3 linked regions of the Mus musculus genome follow. The protein of the gene in region 1 interacts with the protein of each later gene in a pairwise test. Links are inferred from orthologs where the notes say so. Each region holds a gene or a part of one and is shown in the gene's direction. Other genes may lie near its edges.

The links.
Region 2: the proteins of Calcoco1 (region 1) and Dusp13 interact in binary tests that used the Homo sapiens proteins (3 or more experiments, as listed by UniProt). The two-hybrid records come from large-scale screens. The link is inferred for Mus musculus from reciprocal best matches to the Homo sapiens genes CALCOCO1 and DUSP13B.
Region 3: the proteins of Calcoco1 (region 1) and Cep19 interact in binary tests that used the Homo sapiens proteins (3 or more experiments, as listed by UniProt). The two-hybrid records come from large-scale screens. The link is inferred for Mus musculus from reciprocal best matches to the Homo sapiens genes CALCOCO1 and CEP19.

The regions. Positions count from the first base shown.
Region 1 is NC_000081.6:102,717,230-102,725,526, reverse strand, and holds the start of Calcoco1 (calcium-binding and coiled-coil domain-containing protein 1), read left to right. Parts: upstream 1-3,348; 5' UTR 3,349-3,480; intron 3,481-5,805; 5' UTR 5,806-5,829; coding exon 5,830-5,985; intron 5,986-6,450; coding exon 6,451-6,553; intron 6,554-7,533; coding exon 7,534-7,724; intron 7,725-8,297. UniProt on the Homo sapiens protein: Functions as a coactivator for aryl hydrocarbon and nuclear receptors (NR). Recruited to promoters through its contact with the N-terminal basic helix-loop-helix-Per-Arnt-Sim (PAS) domain of transcription factors or coactivators, such as NCOA2.
Region 2 is NC_000080.6:21,738,369-21,745,053, reverse strand, and holds the start of Dusp13 (dual specificity protein phosphatase 13), read left to right. Parts: upstream 1-3,555; 5' UTR 3,556-3,671; coding exon 3,672-4,024; intron 4,025-4,611; exon of another isoform or gene 4,612-4,776; coding exon 4,777-4,950; intron 4,951-6,685. UniProt on the Homo sapiens protein: Dual specificity phosphatase that dephosphorylates MAPK8/JNK and MAPK14/p38, but not MAPK1/ERK2, in vitro. Exhibits intrinsic phosphatase activity towards both phospho-seryl/threonyl and -tyrosyl residues, with similar specific activities in vitro.
Region 3 is NC_000082.6:32,096,363-32,102,918, forward strand, and holds the start of Cep19 (centrosomal protein of 19 kDa), read left to right. Parts: upstream 1-3,426; 5' UTR 3,427-3,749; intron 3,750-6,556. Other genes in the region: Pigx (phosphatidylinositol-glycan biosynthesis class X protein isoform 1 precursor), read right to left, coding at 638-701, 3,108-3,207. UniProt on the Homo sapiens protein: Required for ciliation. Recruits the RABL2B GTPase to the ciliary base to initiate ciliation.

The DNA.
Region 1 (8,297 bases):
GAATAATTTTTGTTTGTATTTTTTAGTGTGTGCATGTGGGGTGTGTGTGTGTGTGTGTATGTGTGTGTGTGTGTGTGTGTGTGTGTGTGTGTGTGTGAATTCAGGTGGCATGGGTACCACTATTACATGTGGAGGTCAGAAGATGACTTTCAACATTTCTCTCTATCTCTATCTTTAAGAATTATTTATTATACTGTAGCTATCTTCAGACACATCAGAAGAGGGCACCAGATCCCATTACAGATGGTTGTGAGCCGCCATGTGGGTGCTGGCAATTGAACTCAGGACCTCTGGAGGAGCAGTCAGCGCTCTTAACCACTACTGAGCCATCTCTCCAGCCCTCAGCATCTCTCTTGATGTCTCTGCTATGCTAGCTGGCCTGTGAGGGTCAGGGCAATTGACCATCTTGACACAGAAATGCTGCATGTCAGGCTATAGAGATGGCTCAGCGGTTAAGGTGCACTGACTGCTCTTCCAGAGGTCCTGAGTTCAATTCCCAGTCAACCACATGGTGGCTCACAACCATCTGTGATAGGGATCGGATGCCCTCTTCTGGTGCGTCTGAAGACAGCGACAGTGGACTCACATGCATGAAATAAATAAATAAACCTTGAAAAAGAAGAAAAAGAAAAGAAACGCTGCACACCATCTCATCCTCCTTCTCCAAACGGCGCTGGGGATTGCGCTCAGATTACTAGGTTTCTTTAACAAGTGCTTTAACTTGATGGGGCATCTCGCCAGCCTCTTCTGTTGTGATAAGGTCTCCTACAGCTAAAACTGACTCCTAAACTGGGTATGTAGCTAAGGATGATCCTGCACACCTGATAGTTCTGCCTCTGGCTCCAAGTTGATTATGAGTATATGCTACCATGCTCCACTTTATGCCATGCGGGGTATCAAACCCAGCACCTCTGCAGTTTTGTTTTCATTTTGCTATGATGCATGTGTTAAGTTCAAGGGAATGTGCCATTTTGAATTCCTCTCTAGGCTCCGGTGAGCATCACTGAGTCCCATTTCTGAATCTTGGCTTCAACCTAGAATAAGTTTCCTTTTTCTACCTGGTCCCCATCCTTTTATTATTTATTTATTATATGTAAGTACACTGTAGCTGTCTTCAGAGACACCAGAAGAGAACATCATATCTCATTACAGATGGTTGTGAGCCACCATGGGGTTGCTGGGATTTGAACTCAGGACCTCTGGAAAAGTAGTCAGTGCTCTTAACTGCTGAGCCATGCTGGGCAGTGGTGGTGCACACCTTTAATCCCAGCACTCTGGAGGCAGAGGCAGGCAGATTTCTGAGTTCGAGGCCAGCCTGGTCTACAGCCAGGGCGATACAGAGAAACCCTGTCTTGAACCCACCCCACCCCCCCAAAAAAACCTGCTGAGCCATCTCTCCAGCCCCCACCCCATCCCCATCTTGACAAACTAACCCAATCAAATATATCCTTCAGTATCTGTATTTACCCTTTTAGTGAGACATATGGAACATCCGGCATAACACTAACACATACTTGTTGAATGATGGGGCTTCCCGTTGCCACGTGCCTTCACTGAGCACATAAGAGCTCAGTGAATATTTATCCCCTGACTAACACTGCTTCTTACAACAACAGAATTTAAAGCCACATTAATACAGTGCTGACTACTGGAACTTGAACCCTGATTCTGCCACTTAGCTGGATTAACCTCACGAATTACTCAGCTGTCTGAGTGTTGCTCTCATTACACGTAAAATGGGGATGATAATAGGGCATACGTTATGGCTGTTTAAAAACGCTGTAAGCATCCCAAACATGGAAGTTGTTATTACCTTAGCTCTATTTGAGACTGAGATTTTTACAAGCTTTCATTCTGAATGCAGACAAAATAAACATTTGAGACTTGAGTCTTTGGACAGGCTTCACTCGTAGCTAACCCAGGACCTTGAACTATCTCCCCATCCAGCAGCTTGTGCCCTAACTCATAAATCCTGACTAATGACACAGACATGTCATCTTAATGTTTGTGCAGCCCAGTGACTTAATGCTTGGAGATCTTCAAATGAAAGGCACCCAAGGACAGCATCAAATACCCTATTCAATCTTAAAAGGAAAAAAAAAAAAAAAACTACCAAAAAAAAAAAAAAAGTAAAAGAAGAGGCGCCGCCAGAACCTACTGCCACAGATAATTAGAATGGACCCAACCAGGAGAGGACAGCTGTCTTTCCGGCATAACTATTTATTTGTGAGACAGGGTCTCCTGTGTAGCCTGAGTCAGAATCGAAATCTCCAGGATCTCCCTGCCTCTGCCTCTTCAATTGCTAGGGTTATAGGTGTGTAGCATTACATCTCACTTAATCCTTTAATATTGAGAAAGGGGGGGGGGGTTGAACTCTTCCAGGGTTGGAGGCCACCCACAACGATGAGGACGGTTCAAGTCCTTAAGTGACTGCGGTGTGGGAACAGTGTGACTCTTTCGCCTATCAAAACAAAACAAAACAAACAAACAAACAAAAAACAACCCTATAGCAACAATTGTATTGTTGCTCTAATTAATTTAAGCCAGTTAAAAGGCTTGGGCAAACAAGCCTCTCTAAGTAGCTTGTTGTGAGCTGTGGCAGTCCTGCCAAGCTCTCTCTTCAACCGCATGCTTTTCATTCCACAGCCTAGCCACCATTTCAAGCTATGTCCCCTAATCCTAGCCCCAGAAGCCACTCCAGGGGGAGCACGTGCAGGTGTGGTATGTGTGTGTGTGTGTGTGTGTGTGTGTGTGTGTGTGTGTGTGTGTTATCGGACCCCTTGGCATGGAAATCTTCTCAAGCTGGAACCAAACAGTAAGCTTTGAGACTTTTACAAGCTCTGTCAACCCTGAAGTCAGAACAAGCTAAAAATAAATAACCACTACCACCCCTGTGAGTTTCCCCACCCACAACATGGTGGCTGTAGCTCGTAGCTTGGGAGAGGCCTGGCAGAGTTCTACAGTTTCATAGCCCTGACCCTAGAGGATTCCTTAGACAAGTTTTTTCTTTTGTAAGTAGATATAACACTACAGCCTATCTTGTAAAAGCGAACAAGAAGGCTGTGCTGGAAGCGTTCCGCCCCACCGAAAAGAGCTGTGCAGAACGCGTTAAAGCCGTCAACTCTCCCACTAAGCATGCTACGAACCAGCAGCCTCCACTAGATCAGCCTGCCCTTTCTTAAGGAATCATGGGCCGTGAAGTCCTTTGGAAGACACACCCTCCTGAACTGCCTCGGGAGTAAGAACTACATCTCCCGGGATGCCACGCTGAGTCCATCACCGCCCCGCCCTCTTCCCCGCCCCTCGCGCGCAGCCTCCTGGGACATGTAGTTCCACAGGTAGAAAAGTAGACAGTGTCGAGTCATAGAAGAACCACAAGCCCCAGAAGCTCTCGCGTCACTCTTCCCCTCCCCTCCTATAGTCGGAGTGCTGTTTTTGTTGTTGGTGAAAGGTGAGGGGAACAGCTGATCCGTCCGTGGGGTAAGAAACTTGGCCTAACTGAGGGTGGGCTTACGCGGGGGTGGTCAGCCCGCTTCTCAGCCTGCGAAAGGCTAATCCGAGAGAACTGTAGAAGAGGACGGTAGGAGCGTTTAGGTTTTAATACTTTACGCACTAAGGAAGCCTCCCCCACGTTTCGGTTTTGTTGGTTTCAAGGGGGGCCTTGAGGAGTAGCCCGCATTGTCCTCACTTTCTTGCGGGGCCTCCTCAGTAAAGCTCGATCCGATTATGGAAGCTTGAAGGGACTGAAATATTTGCTTAATCTTTTCCAGGCAAGTCTTTGCCCTCACAGACCTTCTCTCTCTTACCCAAATCCAAAGATCCAAAGGCCTTTACTACGCTGAATCCCTGAGGGGAAAACTTCCAACTTGTGGAACGCCAAAACGCTGAGAGCCCTACAGTGGAGAGGGGACACACACACACACGCACACACAGAGAGGGAGAGAGAGAGAGAATGCATTTGAACATCAGCATCTGACCACATACACTTTCAGTTCTGAAGAATATCTGCAGCTGTTACAGATTGTCTTTGTGGGAAAGGAGGGGTTTGGGGTTCTCAACGGGTAGAACTTTAGAGACAGATCTCACTCTAACCTAAGAAGACTTATATTGAAGAAAACACGGAGTAGCTGTAATGAGAGATTTTTCATAGATGAAAAAAAAAAAGCCGACAAAGAAACTGTTTCCTATTGCATTGCTGGCCCACCTTTCCTTCTCCATGGAGTGTTTAATTTCTTTTAAAGTTCCTCCCCCACTGTCTCAGCCTGGTGTGGGTTTGTGATGTTTGGGGGTGTGCATATGACTAGTGGTGATGTCTGATTGGACACATCAGCTGCACCTGACACAGGAAGCAGATGTGTGGGCTAGAGAAAAGGGCTGCCTCCCCGCTCTGGACTGAGGTGTATTTTTTTTTTAAGTTAATATACAGTGAGTTTCATTTCAAACATGTACACCATCCATACTTTGTTCTTATTCATCTCTGAGTACTACTCTGTTTTAACTTTTTTTTTTTTACTTCTGTGTGTGTGTGTCTGTCTGTCTGTGTCTGTGTGAAGATAGGTGTACAGAAGTCTGAGCACAGCTTGGGGATATCAGTTCTCTTCTCCCAACCTTGAGTTGGTGGCAAGCACCTCTACCCACCCAACTATTCTACCCCCTGAACTCTTGATTGTTGTTGTTGCTATTATTATTATTATTATCTATTTTCCAATTAGTTCTCCCTAGCTAACTCCATTTTATCTGCTTATCTCCTGCCATTAACCCAAACATATGTCAAGATTTGGACTCTTAGAATTGAGGCTAAGAGGAGCCAACAAGAAAATGGGTATAGGGTACTGGAGCTGGGCTAACACCCAAACAAATCATTAGCTTTCTAGCTCTGCTCCCGTCAAGATGGGGGTGGGGGGGGGGAGAATGTTTCTCGTTGATCTCTGCCTTTTCTCAACGCCGAATGTATATTTCCCCTTCTCAGGGCCCCTGACTTACCCTATTTCTAACCTGTTTCCCTGCCTAAGGGCGGGGCTTTCCTGGCTCCAGGCCCCCACATTCCATCTCTGCACACCACCACCTTCCTACTGAATATTTCACTCCACCCTTGAACTGCCACCTCCAGAAGTTTTGATTTCCTGGAATAGAAGTTGAAGGACAGAACCTGTCTTTCCTATTATCCTCCCCTTCTCTAGCCTTGGAGGAAAGCCAAAGCTCGCCTTCTTCTGCTTCCCTAGAGTTGATCGAGATAGGCAACTCACGGATCGGTGCCCCCAAGAGCAGGTGCTCCAAGAGCAGAGGACCCAGGATTAGGTTGTTGATCCCCCAAACCGTAGTCCCCTCTGAAGACCCATCATCGTGATTGGTAAAGAAGGTTGAACAAGCTTAGGCATATGTAAGCAAGACCTGCTTAAACTGAGAGAGGCCCACACTTCCATTGGATTTTGAATTTTAGAGCCAGACATTATAGGGGGTCAGTTACATCGGGAAACCAAAAGAATCTGGAATTCCCAAGGATGTTGAGAGATGAAAGGGAGAGACAGAGATGGGCAGAGACCGAGATGCTGGGTCAGTGGGGCAATGAAAAGGATTAGAAATTAGACAGGTGAGGGCCTGTAAGCCAAAGAGGATACAACATGACAGGGTAGGAAGTTGACTTGGAAGACCTATGGCCCAGGAATTAAAAGTGATACCTTAAAAAGGTCCCACAACCTTGGGGGCCTGGAAACCTGTTTAGTGACAGGGACTGTGGGTTAGGCACACAGGGGTCAAAGGAAAGAAGCAATGGAAAAACAAGTCTATCAACCCTTTCTTTCATAGGACATCAGCCATCTTGAGGACAGCATGGAAGAGTCATCACTAAGCCGGGCACCATCCCGGGGTGGAGTCAACTTCCTGAATGTGGCCCGCACCTACATCCCCAACACCAAGGTGGAATGTCACTACACTTTGCCTCCGGGTACCATGCCCAGTGCCAGTGACTGGATTGGCATTTTTAAGGTATCCCTAGACCCTCTTCTAGCTCAAGATTATGGGACACAGGTTGGTTAGACTATGAGGAGTGGCTAAGTCCTTACATTCTCAGGTTGATAGGGGGAAAGATGACACAGAGGCAGTCAGTATAAAGTTCATCTTTGCCCATCTCTCTCCTGGTAGTATAATGTCCTCCAACCTTACCTGACTCTATTATTATTATTATTTATTTATAATAAGTACACTGTAGCTGACTTCAGACGTACCAGAAGAGAATATCAGGTCTCATTACGGGTGGTTGTGAACCACCATGTGGTTGCTGGGATTTGAACTCAGGACCTTTGGAAGAGCAGTCAGTGCTCTTACCTGCTGAGCCATCTCGCCAGCCCCTTACCTGAGTCTTAGCATCCTTGGTACCATTTGTTCAGTCCTGCCCTTGCCCACCCTTCTATTTCTCACCGATAACTCTGTCATCCTGCCTTTCTCTTCTAGGTGGAAGCTGCCTGCGTTCGAGATTATCACACGTTCGTGTGGTCCTCAGTGCCAGAAAGTACAACTGATGGCTCCCCCACCCATGCCAGTGTCCAATTCCAAGGTATAAAGAAAGATGGAATGCCGGGTAGTGGTGGCACACACCTTTAATCCCAGCACTTGGGAGGCAGAGGCAGGTGGATCTCTGAGTTCGAGGCCAGCCTGGTCTACAGAGTGAGTTCCAGGACAGTCAGGGCTACACAGAGAAATCCTGTCTCAAAAAGCCAAAAAATAAAAATAAATAAATAAAAAATAAAAAAAATAAAGATGGAGAAGCCAAAAAAGTGGTGGTTTGGGGGAAGGCGGAGGGCTAACAGCCATAAAAAGCACAGAGGATAAGGAATATGAGAGCACATAACTCCTAATTGCCACGCCTAATGGTACTCCAATGTCATCCCAGCTACCAAGGAGGCTAGGGCTGGAAGATAACGTGAACCCAGGATATCAATGCTGGCTTAGGCAACATGGCTGACCCCGTCTCCAAAAGGGGGAAAAAAAAAAGACTTTGTGAGACTGTGTCCAACAGAGTTCAGCAAGTTATCGTAGGGTCGGCACCGGTAACTTAGAGGATACTGTAGAAAGATAGAGGATGTTAATCCCATTCATTTACACAACGAAAGAGGAACTCCCAGTATAGGACAAGGGAAAGTGTGTGCTAATAGCAGTCTGAGCGACCTGGATTCAAATCTCAGCTCCCTGCTTTACAAGCTGTTTGGCATTGAGCAGGTAAGTTAGAATAGGGTCCCAGCTTGTAGGATCCCTACAGAGATTTTTACATGACCTGGGGAATGCTGAATGTGTGGTGTGTGGTGCATGCCAGCAGACAGTCAGTGCCAGCTAGAGTCAATGTGATGAAGAGGAAGACCGGGTATGAATAAAGCAGGTGTCTAGACAGGAAGGAGGAAGGACCGTATCCCAAGGACCGCCACAAGGGAGTGGACAGTAGGTAGCATGGGGATACTCGTCCTCCTCAATAGGAACAGGAACCTGTTAGCACTTGAGAGCCAGAGATCATACTGGGTTTCTGGGCTATTCTTCCCACAGCCAGCTACCTGCCCAAACCAGGAGCCCAACTCTACCAGTTCCGGTATGTGAACCGCCAGGGCCGGGTGTGTGGGCAGAGCCCCCCCTTCCAGTTCCGAGAGCCAAGGCCCATGGATGAGCTGGTGACCCTGGAGGAGGCTGATGGAGGCTCTGACATCCTGTTGGTTGTCCCTAAGGCCACCGTGCTTCAGGTAAGAAAAAAAAAAATTGCAGACTTGTTCCAGGGCCAGGGACACCAAGGACAGCATTGCGAGAGCCAGCCTTTTCAAAGGGTGGCTGCCTGCCCTAAATCCTACAGGAGAGCCACAAGGTGGAGGAAAACTGCCTCAAGCAACCCAGGGAGGAAAGAGTGTGGGCACAGCAGGGCTCGAAACTGTCCCATTCAGTACCAAAGGTGCTGACCACATAGGGCTCTTTGGCACTTCAGGTATGACTAATCCAGTTTGAGGTATAATCACAGGAAAGATAGCATACTGGATTTCAAACACTTTGTATCTCAACATTTATTTATTTAGTTGTGTTTATCTGGGTATGTGTAGATATGTATATACGTAAGTGCTTGCATGCCACAACTCGTGTGGAGTCAGAAATCAGCTTGAGGGAGTTGGTCCTCTCGTCCTTTTCAGCGTTGGTTTCAAGGATCCAGGGACCAAGCTCAAGTTTCCAGGCTTGGCAATAAGTATTTTATCTCATCAGCCATCTTGCTGGCCTAGCCGTGGTACTTTTAACTTCAATCCCTCAATTACCTTCCCCAGCCCAGGTGT
Region 2 (6,685 bases), on another chromosome or scaffold:
GAGAGGTGACAGATACAGGGTTAGGTAACAGCCCTTGCTCCTGTCCTAAAGTGCCAGCCAGCCTAGGCCTTCATTTACCTGCCTGTAGTGTGAAGGTTCTCTCTCCTCCAGAGCCAGTCCTTCCGCTCTGCCGCCAGGCTCTGCCAGTTTGCTACTCTTGCCCTGGCCCTGATGGCAGCCTTAGCCCAAGTGGACGCCCAGAAGATGAAAAGGGCCCAGCGTGGCGCTCACCGTCGAACCCGCCACTCCAACAGCCTCCTCCAGCATTCCACGTGCCCTCTCAGCCACTGTCTTCAGTTTCCACAGGTGGGAGTGGGCTGTCTGTCAACTAGTCTTTGAGGCTCTTGTGACAGGGTCCCCAAGTCCTCTGATAGGGTCAGGGAGAATGGTTCTCAGTGTTCTCCCCGGCTCTCCCTGAGGCTCAAGGAGTTCAGTGGACATAAGGCTGAGGGTGTGTGTGTGTGTGTATCTGGTAGTGCTAGAGAGCATTATTGTATGGGTATATGATTAGAGCATCTGGATTAAAAAGGATACTTTTTAATCTCAAATCCAGTGGCCTCTCACTAGGCAGACCCCTGGGGCACCTGTCTTTGAGGGAGAGACAGAGGGCAGTGGAGGGAGAGCTGCTCCTGGATAAAAGCCACTGAGTGCACAGACCTGCTCCATAGTCCCTTGACAGCTGTGTCTGTCTATGCTCTGTCTGTCTGTCTGTCTGTCTGTGCCTGACCGGAACCTGCCAGATGGTGAGCTTGCACTTCTCACCCTGAAATAGAGGCTCCTAGACCTATGCTCTGATGTCCTTCTAGTATGTGCTTTGACATAGTCTCATCTGTGTCTTCCAGCATAGATCCCATCAGCTCTTTATCTCTGCCCTAGTTTTGAGTAACCTCTGAAAGCCAAGGGATTTGGGGGTTGGGAGGTATTTGGGGCAAGCTGGAATGGTACTCAGGGTCTCAACCACACTAGATAAGTGCACTACCATTGAACACCACCACCCAGTCCTAGAGAGGTGGTTTTCTGTTTTGTTGTATTGTGTTTTAGACAAAGTCTTACTGTGACTGTCTAAAACATCTGGCTGGCCTAGAACTCACTATGTAGACCAGGCTGGCCTTGAACTCAGAGGTCTGCCTGTCTCTGCCCCTGCCTCTGCCTCCTGAGTGATGAGATTAAAGGTGTACGCCACCATTCAGGCTCTAAGGGGAATTTTTAAGGTGGTTTGCTTGCTTTTCCTTTTCCCCACCCAGCTACCCAAATACACTCATCCCACACACCGCAGGCAACCCTCTGAGCTTCCTGTATCCTGAACATTAAGGATACATGTACAAGGAGAAAGGGTGAGGATAGGTTTGGGCCTCAGCCATGGGGTTGCTGGGTACAGTTGCACAGCCTGGGTTTAAGGAGGAAGTACCTGGCTGAGCCTAGGGCTGACCAGGCCATGGGACCAATGGACAAGTTGGGAGTGGCAAGGAAAGGCAAAAGGGAGACGACAGCATGCTTTATAATTAAACTCAAATAAAAAAATAGAAACAGCATCAGGTGTGCGGAGCCAGGCGGCTAGAATCCAGCGGCACAAGCTGTGGGTCGGAGAAGACTACAGCCCGGTCAGGATCTCCCCACAGGTGGGTGAACGACCCTAAGCAGAGACCCCTGAGAATACTGGGTACTGGGGCCCAGGGCATCTATGCCTGCTTGTGTGGGCAACTGTGAGGACTGGGTTGGGGGACTCCAAATGGGTCAGAGGTAGAGGCACAGAACCCTGCCTCTCGCCACCGTGTGACCTTGGGCAAACTGCTTTTATCTCTCTGAGGCTTGATTTTTCTCATCTGGAAAGTGGGGATGTTGATACTGCCTGCTTCGTGAGAGAACAGGGTGGACTCAGCGTGAAGACACGAGTCCTGGGCTCTGTCTGGTCTGTAACGTACTTCCTCAAGCTGGGAATATAATTACGAAACACAGAGATCCAGGTGAAAACTCCACAGGCCATAGCAATCTACCCTCTATAGGTCTTGGCTGAGCCCCGAAAGGATGAGACTGATTGGAGCAATGTCCATAACGTGATGCCTCATTTATGTGGCACCTGCCCTGATGCAGGGCCTCTGGGAGGTGCATCTCACTTATGATGTCATGAGAGTCTCCCAGCAGCTCCTGGTGAAGACTCAGGCTCACAGACTCCCACACAGGTCTGTCTCCCTCCAGGGATGCAGGCTGGGCAGAGACCACTGCAGTCTGCCCTTGGCATTTACCTGCCAAAGTCTCTTTCCCAGACACCTCGATGTCCTTCTGTGAGAACGCTAGCCCCACTTGGTCTGTGCTCCCTAAGAGAAGAGGGGAGACAGAGAGGGAACAGCAGAGGAGACCAGGAGAAATGTGTTCTGAGGTTACAGCTAAAGAGGTAGGTGGCAAACAGCTGCCACGTCCCAGGCTGCTGAGCAAGGCCCGAGGTATGCAGGGTGGTATTCTAGAAGGCTATCCTGGGACAAACTGAAAGACAGACAACAGAGAGCAAGCTAGAGATGCTACTAGTGCCAACAAAAGGTAAGTATGTGTAGCTCTGTATACAGAGGCAGTGTGGGCAAGAAAGCCACTGTTGACAGAAGCAACTTCTCTGCTGAAGTTTCAGGGAAGTAGAAGCCAGGTAGCACTAGAGAGCCACGGGAGGACTATCATGAATGTGAACAGGGGCCTGATCCTACAAGACATTCAGCCATGGCTCCTTCTGACATAGCTGGGCCCTCCCTACACCAGGGGGTAGCAGAATCCCTGGGCTTTCTTTTGGGGGGGGTGCCTAAAGCTTAAGGAATGGCTCACTGAGTGAGCTGCTGGGCCTGGCTCTGATAGGTGAAAGGAACCCTCAGTGGACCAGAGCAGATAGCTGGGCTACATATAGCCCTAAGTAGGACCTGACCAGGAAACCCTAAGTCTAAGAAAAATCTTTCCTACAGGTCTGAGTTAGACCAGGGAAGTTAAGGACATCCCCTAATCCCCACCACCGAGCTCCTGGGACACAGTTGGGCTGCCTAGCAGCCACTGGCCACTAGAGGGCAGACTTACCCCATGCCAAATTGAGCAGGCCTGTGAGGGGCCTACGGTTTCCCGAAATCCCTGTCTAGTTCCACTCATAGCTGGAGGAGTCTAGCTGGTGGCCTCAGGCCAGAGTGGCTATTGGACTTCCCTGGATTCAGAGATCCTCCACCCTAATATTCCTTTCCCTGGTGTTACTTCATATAGCGTCATTCCCTTCTCTTGCAGCCAGCAGAATACCAGAGAGCAGAGAAAAGAAACTAAGGCCCAGATAGGAATGAAAACTTGCCTAGGTCCCAGGATATATCCTTGTCAAATTTTAAGGGGAGTCTGTTCCCTAGGCATCTCTTCAGGTGGTCCCCATCTTCAGGACAAGTGTTTTCAATAGCAGAGACACCAGGGAGAGATGTTAGGCCACTGCTCCTGTCCCCGCAGCTCAGGTCTGTCTTCATCTTGCCCCACATCCCCATTGGCTCACATGCATGGACCTGGAATTCTAGGCGCATAACAGCATTTGTGTTCTGGATGGAACCTGCTTTAGGACTGTTCCACTCAGCCTGCCCCTGCACCTAGTCCCCCATTCCTGGCCCCAGACCATGCCCTAGGTAGGTGGCAGGCCACTCAGCCTGCCAGAGAGGTCACAGAGGGGGATGAGGGAGAAAGGCCGGCCCTCTCTTCCACCCAGCTCATCATCCACTGGCTGGGTGAGTGTGGCCAAGCCAGTGGCCTCCTGGGTGCCCATCTCTTTTTCTGGTTTTGGCAGTGCCTGCCAGAGGGAAAAGGCATTCTACCCAGTCTGTACCTACTCGAGTTACTCTTTGAGGGGACCAGGGGTAGTTGACCAAGGTAGGTTCCCCTTCCCTCTAAGGTACCAGGCTCAGGTTCTGGTGCCTCTGACACCTCAGCTCTGCAAGGGCCCAGATGGACTAAGCCAGATGACTCCAGACATAACCCACTCCTTCCGGGTGAGGCCTGTACAGGTGTACTGGCCTGAACCACAAGGGTAAGGAGGAAAAAAGCCCGGGGCCTGTAAGTGGATGTGTAGCTCATCCCTGACAGCTCCCTAGAGGAGACACATCAGTTGGTGACCACCCTCTGGCAACTGGAAGGCTTGGGGAATGAACTGAAGGCACACACTGGATATCAAGCTCAGGGTAGTCTTTAGCCATTTGTCATTTGTCATTGGTGTCAGTGTGAAACATGGAACACAGCACAAGGGATACAGCCTGCTTATGAGCGACACCAGCTCACTTGGTGTGAACAAGCTGACTAATGCCCACTTGTGGCTGGACTGTAACCCTGGACAGTGCTTTGACCTCCTCTAGCATCAGCCTTAGAAACAGCCAGGGTGGGAGCTACAGATGAGCTGCCTGGCTTTGGAGGGACATCCTAGGTCCTCTCCAAGAGCCTCCGCCAGCTGGGGTTTCCAGTGACTAAAGGGGTACGGTCTGCACAGATTAGCCCTACAGAGATTCCCCACGGTCCCTAAGACCAACATTTCTAACATCCGTTGCCTCAGGAAAGGTACGCTTAGCGCCATGGAATTGACAAGAGAGTTCTAGTTCTCCTTGTTCCCAGGGAAAAGGTTCTAGGTTCCAGGCCAGCTGAGCCGGGTAATAGCCTCATTCAGCATAGCTGAGGCTGGCCCCCACAGCATCCCACTGGCTCCTGGTACTGCAACACAGGTCTCCCTGTCCACTGGACCCACGCTTGGGGAGCCTGTTCCAGCTACTGTCCTGTTTACTCTGTTCCCAGAATGGACTCGCTACAGAAGCAGGAACTTCGGAGGCCAAAGATTCATGGGGCAGTCCAGGTGTCCCCCTACCAGCCACCCACACTGGCCTCTCTGCAGCGATTGCTGTGGGTCCGTCGGACTGCCACACTGACCCACATCAATGAGGTCTGGCCCAACCTTTTCTTGGGAGATGCGTAAGTAAGACCCATGTAGGGGTTTAGGGTGGCTGATGGGTGGGAGTACCAGGATAAGCCTCCTCCAGATGGCCCACAGTGCTTCTCACCGCTGCCTGCATTTGCCTTTCTCATGTTTGTTTGGAAACATACAGTTTCATCTTTCAGGCCATGGAATAGAGAATTCCTTGTATCCTAGAAGTGACCTGTTTTAGTGGATAAACCACACTTCAAGAGACAAAGCTCTCTCTCTTCTCTTCTTTTCTTTTGTACCCCTGGTTGGCTCGAATTCCCTATGTAGCTGAGGATACCTTGAGTTTCTGATCCTCCAGCCTTCACCTCCAAAGAGCTGGTTTTACAAGTGTGCATTGCCACCATGCCTGTTTTATGCTGGTGATCACACCCAGGGCTTTGCACGTACTAGGCAGGCGCTCTGCAAATTGAGCTGTGAACCTAGCCTACCTGAAACCATCATCGTCCTCATTGACTCAGTCCCACTGGATGTCCTGGAACTCACTAGGTAGAATAGGCTGGCCTCAAACTCATAAAGATCCTCCTGCTTCTGCCTTCTAAGTGTATGCTACCATGCATCTCTCATTTCTATTGGTGTATATTCATTGTATATTGGGATGGGTTTAGCAGATTTTTCAAGCTTTACTGTGTATTTGATCTTATTCACCTCCCTATTCTCTCCCCCATTTTCTTTCTTTCTTTTTTTTTTAAGATTTATTTGTTTATTATATGTAAGTACACTGTAGCTGTCTTCAGACACCTCAGAAGAGGGCATCAGATCTCATTACAGATGGTTGTGAGCCACCATGTGGTTGCTGGGCTTTGAACTCAGGACCTTTGGAAGAGCAGTCAGTGCTCTTAAATGCTGAGCCATCTCTCCAGCGCCCCCCCCCCCAATTTCTTTTAAATTTGAGACTGGGTCTCACTGCAGCTAACTTGTAATTGTCTAGGAAGACTAGGTTAGCCTTGACCTTACAGAGACCCACCTTCCTCTGCCTGCAGAGCTAGAATTCAAGTCGTGTACTGCTGTGCCCACCCCCACCCCCCCACATGCCCTCCTTTTTTCTCTTTCTCACTCACTAGTTTGGTTCCTTCCACCAGATAATCTTGCTTCAGCTTTAGTGTCATATGTATGTAGTACATATGTGATTTTATGTAGCTATATAGCTATATAAAACCTAGGAGCTACTCAGATTAGCAAATGCATGCTATGTTCTGGGTCTGTGCTATTTCATTTGATATGACCACCATTTGCACCCAATTCAAAAGCAGCATTTATTTTTCTTTCTAGTTTTGCCTTAAATACTTCAGATATGCCTTTTGCCAGCCTTCTAAAGTTAGAGCAAAAAATATTTAAAATTTACCTTGTGGTTAAGGCAATGGCTCAGCAGTTAAGAGCACTGACTGCTCTCGCAAAGGGTCTGGGTTTGGGTCCCAGCACCTGCACGGCAGCTCACAACTGCCTGCAACTGCAGTTCCAGGGAATCTGATGCCTTCTGGCTTCCACAGGCTCCTGCATGCACATGGTGGACACATATACACATACATTTAAAAAAATATTTTGGACCCTGGAAAGATGGCTCAGTGGTTAAGAGCACTGGGTGCCAGCTGTCGAGATGGCTCAGCGAGTAAGGGCTCTTCCAAAGGTCCTGAGTTCAAATCCCAGCCACCACATGGTGGCTCACAACTATCTGTAATGAGATTAGATGCCCTTTTCTGGTGTGTCTGAAGACAGCTACAGTGT
Region 3 (6,556 bases), on another chromosome or scaffold:
AATAAATCTTAATAAATAAATAAATAAATAAATCTTTAAGAGGGAGAGAAGAGGAGGAAGAGGAGGAAGAGGAGGAGGAAAAAGACTGGTATCAAAGAAGAAATAGAAGCAGTAAACTCGAAGTAATAGCACACAATCTAGTAACTACTTAAATGGAAAATAAACCACACTCATAAACCAGGCTGGCCTCGAACTCAGAGATCCGCCTGCCTCTGCCTCCAAAGTGCTCGGGTTAAAGGCGTGGCCACCACTGTAGGCTCGTCTTTCATTTCTTAAAAGTAAAATTACACATATATATGTACACAGTAAGCAATTATTAATCCACCATTATTTTAATCATTTAATCACTTCAATATATGAACCACATATGACAAATCTGTTACTCTGTAACTTTAAGAAAGCCAGGCTCAGTGGCGTACATCTGTAATTCAGCCCTGGGGTGAATGAGAGGAGGATCAAGAGTTTGAGGTTATCCCAAGCTACATGGCAAGTTTGAGGCCAGTCTGGGCTATATGAGACCTCGTCTCAAAACAAACAAGCAAAAAAAAAAAAAAAGAAAAAAAGGAAACAAATGTTCAGTTTATCCATAATTATTAGGCAGTTGTTTAATATAAGTAGAAATCAGTGGGCAACCTACCTGTGGAAACCATCTTTCAAAAATTCTTGCCTTAAAATAATTTCAGAACAAGTGGCCCTTACACCTATAAAAATCAAGACATTACAAATGAAAATACACACAGGGAGAGAAATCTTAAATAGTTAGAAAATAACTACTCTAGTCGGCTTTACTTGCTAGAAAAGTCTAACCACCTAACAGCGCAAGGTAAAAAATTTAAATGTTTACAAAACACATGAAACTCAAGAAGAACAAAGACCAAAGTGTAGACATTTTGCCCCTTCTTACAATTGGAAACAAAACACCCATGGAAGGAGTTACAGAGACAAAGTTTGGAGCAGAGACAAAAGGATGGACCATCTAGAGACTGCCATATCCAGGGATCCATCCCATAATCAGCCTCCAAACGCTGAAACCATTGCATACACTAGCAAGATTTTGCTGAAAGGACCCAGATATAGCTGTCTCTTGTGAGGCTATGTCGGGGCCTAGCAAACACAGAAGTGGATGCTCACAGTTAGCTATTGGATGGATCACAGGGCCCCCAATGGAGGAGCTAGAGATAGTACCCAAGGAGCTAAAGGGATCTGCAACCCTATAGGTGGAACAACAATATGAACTAGCCAGTACCCCCCGGAGCTCTTGTCTCTAGCTGCATATGTATCAAAAGATGGCCTAGTCGGCCATCAGTGGAAAGAGAGGCCCATTGGTCGTGCAAACTTTATATGCCTCAGTACAGGGGAACGCCAGTGCCAAAAAGTGAGAGTGGGTGGGTAAGGGAGTGGGGGGGAGGGTATGGGGGACTTTTGGGATAGCATTGGAAATGTAAATGAGGAAAATACCTAATAAAAAATATTTAAAAAATTTAAATGTACGCAGGTTGAGCTCCATAGAGATCTACTTCTGGCAGTACATCAGTGAGGCTGAGAATCTCTGCCACTGGAGTCGGCTTGTCAGCTTTCCATGATGTAATAGCTGTGCCTCTGAAGTAGACCAGGCCTCTCTGTGGCTGTCCCAGGCATTTAATACATGTAGAAGCAGTCAAAAAAGTGCTCCATACACAAAGGATTTTGTTCATGTGATTTTTTTTTTTTTTTTTAATACAGGGTTTCTCTGTGTAGCCCTGGATGTTCTGGAACTCACTCTGTAGACCAGACTGGCCTTGAACTCAGAAATCCGCCTGCCTCTGCCTCCAGAGTGCTGGGATTAAAGGCGTGCGCCACCACTCCCGGCTTGTTCATGTGATCTTAAGACACTATTCTGGCTCACTAAATCATGTCTGATACGTGATACAGCAACACAGCAACTTCTGTATTCTTATGCCCGTGTCTACAAGTCTGGGAAGATTGTACACTGATACTTTGTGAAGATGTTGGGAGAGGCTTTTTTTTTAAAAAAAAAAAGGCAAGAAAATGAGGGGCACATGAAGATTCAGTGAGTTCACTTACACACTTGGAATAAGCAGAAATCTTCATAAAATGATTCACTAAAACTATTATTACTCAGTGACTAAAAGTTCAAGACTGGTGAGATGGCACCACCTTTGGTTCCAGCACTCAGTTTGGTCTACATACCAAGTTCCAAGAAAGACCATTTCTCAAGTATCAAATATTAAGAAACAAACAAACCCTAAAGGTTCAGTAGCCAGGTACCCTGCTCTAAAACACTGGCAAGAAATGTGTGGGAAGAACATTAAAATAAGAGTGTGAATCACTGATAAACCTGTTACTCAGCAACATGAAGCCAGGAGAATAAGCAGTTGGGAGACGCTTGAGGGTCCTACAATATAAAAGCGAGTCAACAGTTGCTGGGGGCAAACTGCAGAGAAAAAGAGATGGGAGGGGGGAAACTAGTGTTAGGACTGAAGAGCTGTCTGGAAGTCGCTTAGTGAGCTCCAGGGTTGCAGTTTTCAGGACTCACCCATTTTATCTTTCTACTGATGCAGCTTCTTTTGAGTTATCCTTGCTTCTAGTAAGTAGCCCCTCACCCATATTTCTAATAGTAGCCCCAATTAAAAAAAAAAAATCATTGGTTTACCAAACTGGACACTGGTACAAAGGTTACCTTTCTGGAGTGAGCAGGTTGTGCGTGTGTGCGTGCGTGCGTGTGTCCCTGGGAAGTATGTCACACAACACATCACCTCACCCCTTCTCCCATACATGCTGTTTGGGCATTCTCACACTTCGCTGGATGCCGAGGGTTCACTGCCTCTCAGGCAGCACAAGGCATCTTCAGGGGAACCATAAGCACCCCAAGATACTTCGTGGCTTGCTGTACTTGTTTCGTACTTGGGTCACAGCGTGGCCAGTCCCGCCTTGGAAAGACAAAGCCCGGCTCTGAAGCCCGGGATGGGACCCCCAGCAAAGATCACAAGGAGGGAAGGGCGCACAGGGCCTTTGTTGCTAACTTCCTCCGGCCTCGGGTACCCCAGGCGCCGCGGGTGCTCCCCACCTCCGCCCCAGCTCCGCACACACTCGCTCAGCCCCCTGACCTTTACCAGCGCTGAAAGGGGCGTCGCTGAAGTCCGCGGCGAGCCTGCCGACCAGCCAGGCTGCCCAAAGGAGCAGCCAGGCCACAGCGCCGGCAGCCAGGACGCCGGAGCCCGACGCCCGAAAGGGGCGCTCGGGGCAAGCTGCGGTCACCGAAGGAATCTGAGCACGCTGAGCGCGCGCTCACCTTTCCCGATGACCCGAACAGAACTCGGCTAACACTTCCACCCTAGGATCTCCCTACAACTCCAGGTTCCGGAGAGGCCAGCCCCCTGGCCCCGCCCCTCGTCATCCCGGCCGGGGCGGGGCGAGAGGCTGCGCAAGCGCAAATTGAGAGCCTTCTGTTGCCTTGGGAACGATCCTCGGGGCGCCTAGGTGGGCCCTTGGACCGGGCGAGCTGCCTTAGGACCGCACTCCCCGCGCTCAGCCCCGCTTCCTGCCCACAACCGGATGCGTGCGGGCTGAGCCCCCTGCCTCTGAGTTCACCCCATGGTTATTCCTGTAGGCTATGGCTATCGCCGTTTCCTGCAGCGTCAGGCTCCACCTCGCCTCAAAGTCGACCTAAGCTCCTCTGTGCAGTGCAGTAGGATGGAAACCACCCCCTCACTGCTGTTCAGATGTGCACTTCCTGTACTTCTTCAAGGGTAAGTAGGGTCGCCTTGCATTGGTGAGGACATGAATCGGGACCTCAGTATTCCCTTCGGTGTTGTGGGGAACAAATCTCTAGTAGGAAAAGTATATCAGGTAAAAATACATTAGGTAAATGTAATGTCATTCCTCCCAGTGCGTTAGCTGACCTAGTGCTGGTGCTGAACGGCAGGCAGGTTATGGGGTCTCGAAAGTGGGAGGATAGTGTAATATAGCACTACAAACATGCTATTAAGAAATATGGACAAAAACAAAAAAAAAAAAAGGCCAGGTAGTGGTGGTGTATGCTTTTAATCTCAGCACCCGGGAAGTAGAGGCGGTCAGATCTCTGAGTTTGAGGCCAGCCTGGTCTACAGAGTGAATCCAGGGCAGCGAGAGCTTCACAGAAAATCCTGACTTGAAACAACAACAACAATAATAATAATAAATTAAAAGGAAAACTCTTTAGTGAAGACCTTACGTTATTATCGACTCTATTCACAAGTGTGGCCCTTTGCTTATGTTTGTAGACCATATAGTGTCTGGAAAGTTTACTGACATCACACTCTAGTGAGGTGAACTGGGAATAGTGTCTGGGCATTGGCTCAGATCAAAGGCAAAGCCCAGCAATGTGAAAGGCAGCACTTTATTATGGTTGACCTCATAGGAGTAAAAATCTCACATCTGTCAGTAGGGTGAGAATACAGACTGTGATCCTATATGATAAATCTACCTAGCAACCATAAAATTTGCATTTAATACAGGAAACCGTATGTATGAGATAAAACTAAACTGTAGTCTATATATGTATTTATATTTATGCATATATGTATGTGACATACATATAGCTAGAAAAAAGAATAGAAGTTAGATGAACATTTCATTTTCTCTTTCTCTCACTTTTATTCCTATTTTTCTTTTTTTTTTAAGATTTATTTATTTATTATATGTAAGTACACTGTAGCTGTCTTCAGACACACCAGAAGAGGGCGTCAGATCTCATTACGGATGGTTGTGAGCCACCATGTGGTTGCTGGGATTTGAACTCAGGACCTTCAGAAGAGCAGTTGGTGCTCTTAATCACTGAGCCATCCCGCCAGCCCTAAGCAATTCTTGTAATTAAGTGTACTTTGCCACTGAGGGTAGAGATGGAAAGAGAGAGCAGAAAGTATTAATCTGAAAATATCTGGTTTTTTTAAAGATTTATTTATTATTATACATAAGTATACTGTATTATTATTATACATAAGTATACTTCAGACACACCAGAAGAGGGCATCAGATCTCATTACGGGTGGTTGTTTGCCACCATGTGGTTGCTGGGATTTGAACTCAGGACCTTTGGAAGAGCAGTCAGTGCTCTTAACCACTGAGCCATCTCACCAGCCCATGTCTGGGTTTCTTATACCTGGAAAAATACTATAGTAGGACAAATGAGCAGAGGTAAAAGCCAAACAAACATTACTGTTTTGAATGTGGAGAGGCTGATTACCTACAAACCCCCCCACCCCCCCTTTTTTTTTTTTTTGAGAAGTAAGGGACCAGAGTTCCCAAACAGCTGTCCTGGAACTCAGGGCAATCTTGCTGTTTTGGCCTTCTGAGTTCTGAGATTACAGGCATAAGGAACGATGCCTTTCAGATCTGCCATTTTCGCTATTGATCCTTATGTTTCGCTATTGATCCTTATGTTGTCAGCTGACTGGGGTCAGTTTGCTCTAGCTGGATAGAAATCATGAGTAGAAGTTCCCAGGCCCTTGAGTGTCCAAGGCCTGGACTAGCACGTTAGATGATGACAGTTCCAGACACTGAGAGGTAGGGACTTAGGCCTCCTGATTTAGACGCTAGTGACGCATGGCTCTGGGTGCTCAGGTCAGATGCTATTAGCATCCATTTGGCAAGCATTTGCCAGATACTGTAATGCCCCTCGTCCAGCAGCTGTGAGTGCCACCAGAAGACAACATCTGCTGGACTACAGTTGTGACACTCCATTCCTACAATGGCTAGTAGTATCGCTTAAGGCCCGGAAGCTTCCTGAAACTCTTCAGCATCTAGTTCTCATAACTTCCGCTGCCTCTACTCCAGTGTTTCCACTTTGGTTACTTACTCTCTGGGACCTTCTGTTGCCCTCTTGGGGCTTCAACTGCTACTGTCAGGATGGAAGCTGCTACCAGTGTGCCAGTTTTACCATCTCTTCTTCCTTGTGCTGATAGCTCAGTCTGGTCTCCTAACACTAACGATCAAAAGCAGGAAAGAAAAGGCCACTTTAACCGTCTTTTAATGAGCCTCATGTTATAACACGGAACACCCGGAGCAGCACAATGAGGGCGTGTCCAGGTGAGTCCGGAAGTGAGCAGCCAGATGTGAGGCAAGGATGTTTGCAGCAATCATGACACAACCCCTCATGCAGAGGGATACTGTGGTCTGCATCGGAGCCACCACCATGACTGCTCCTCTGTCTAGAGTGAAAGCAGAAGGACTACTAATGCGCACCGAGGCTCCTGCTCAGCATGCTGCTCTCTAAGGCCTGTGCAGGCTGGTGGAGTGCTCGCAGTGATGGCGGTCTTCAGCTGCGCCTATAGTATCCTCGGAGAAACAGAAACAGAGAAAGAAAGAGTCTGGACAGTTAGGAGGAAAGGAATGACTGTCCCACCTCAGGCTGCTATAAGAGAAGGGCCTGTGAAAATGTTGCCCTAGATGGTCTTAAAGAAGCCTCAATGCAAACTAACAATTCTAGCAACAGTTAACAGTACTTCCTATTATTTAACAGTGTGTAACAGCATTTAACTCCTCCCCAATGCCCCAGAAAGATACATAGTAACCTTGC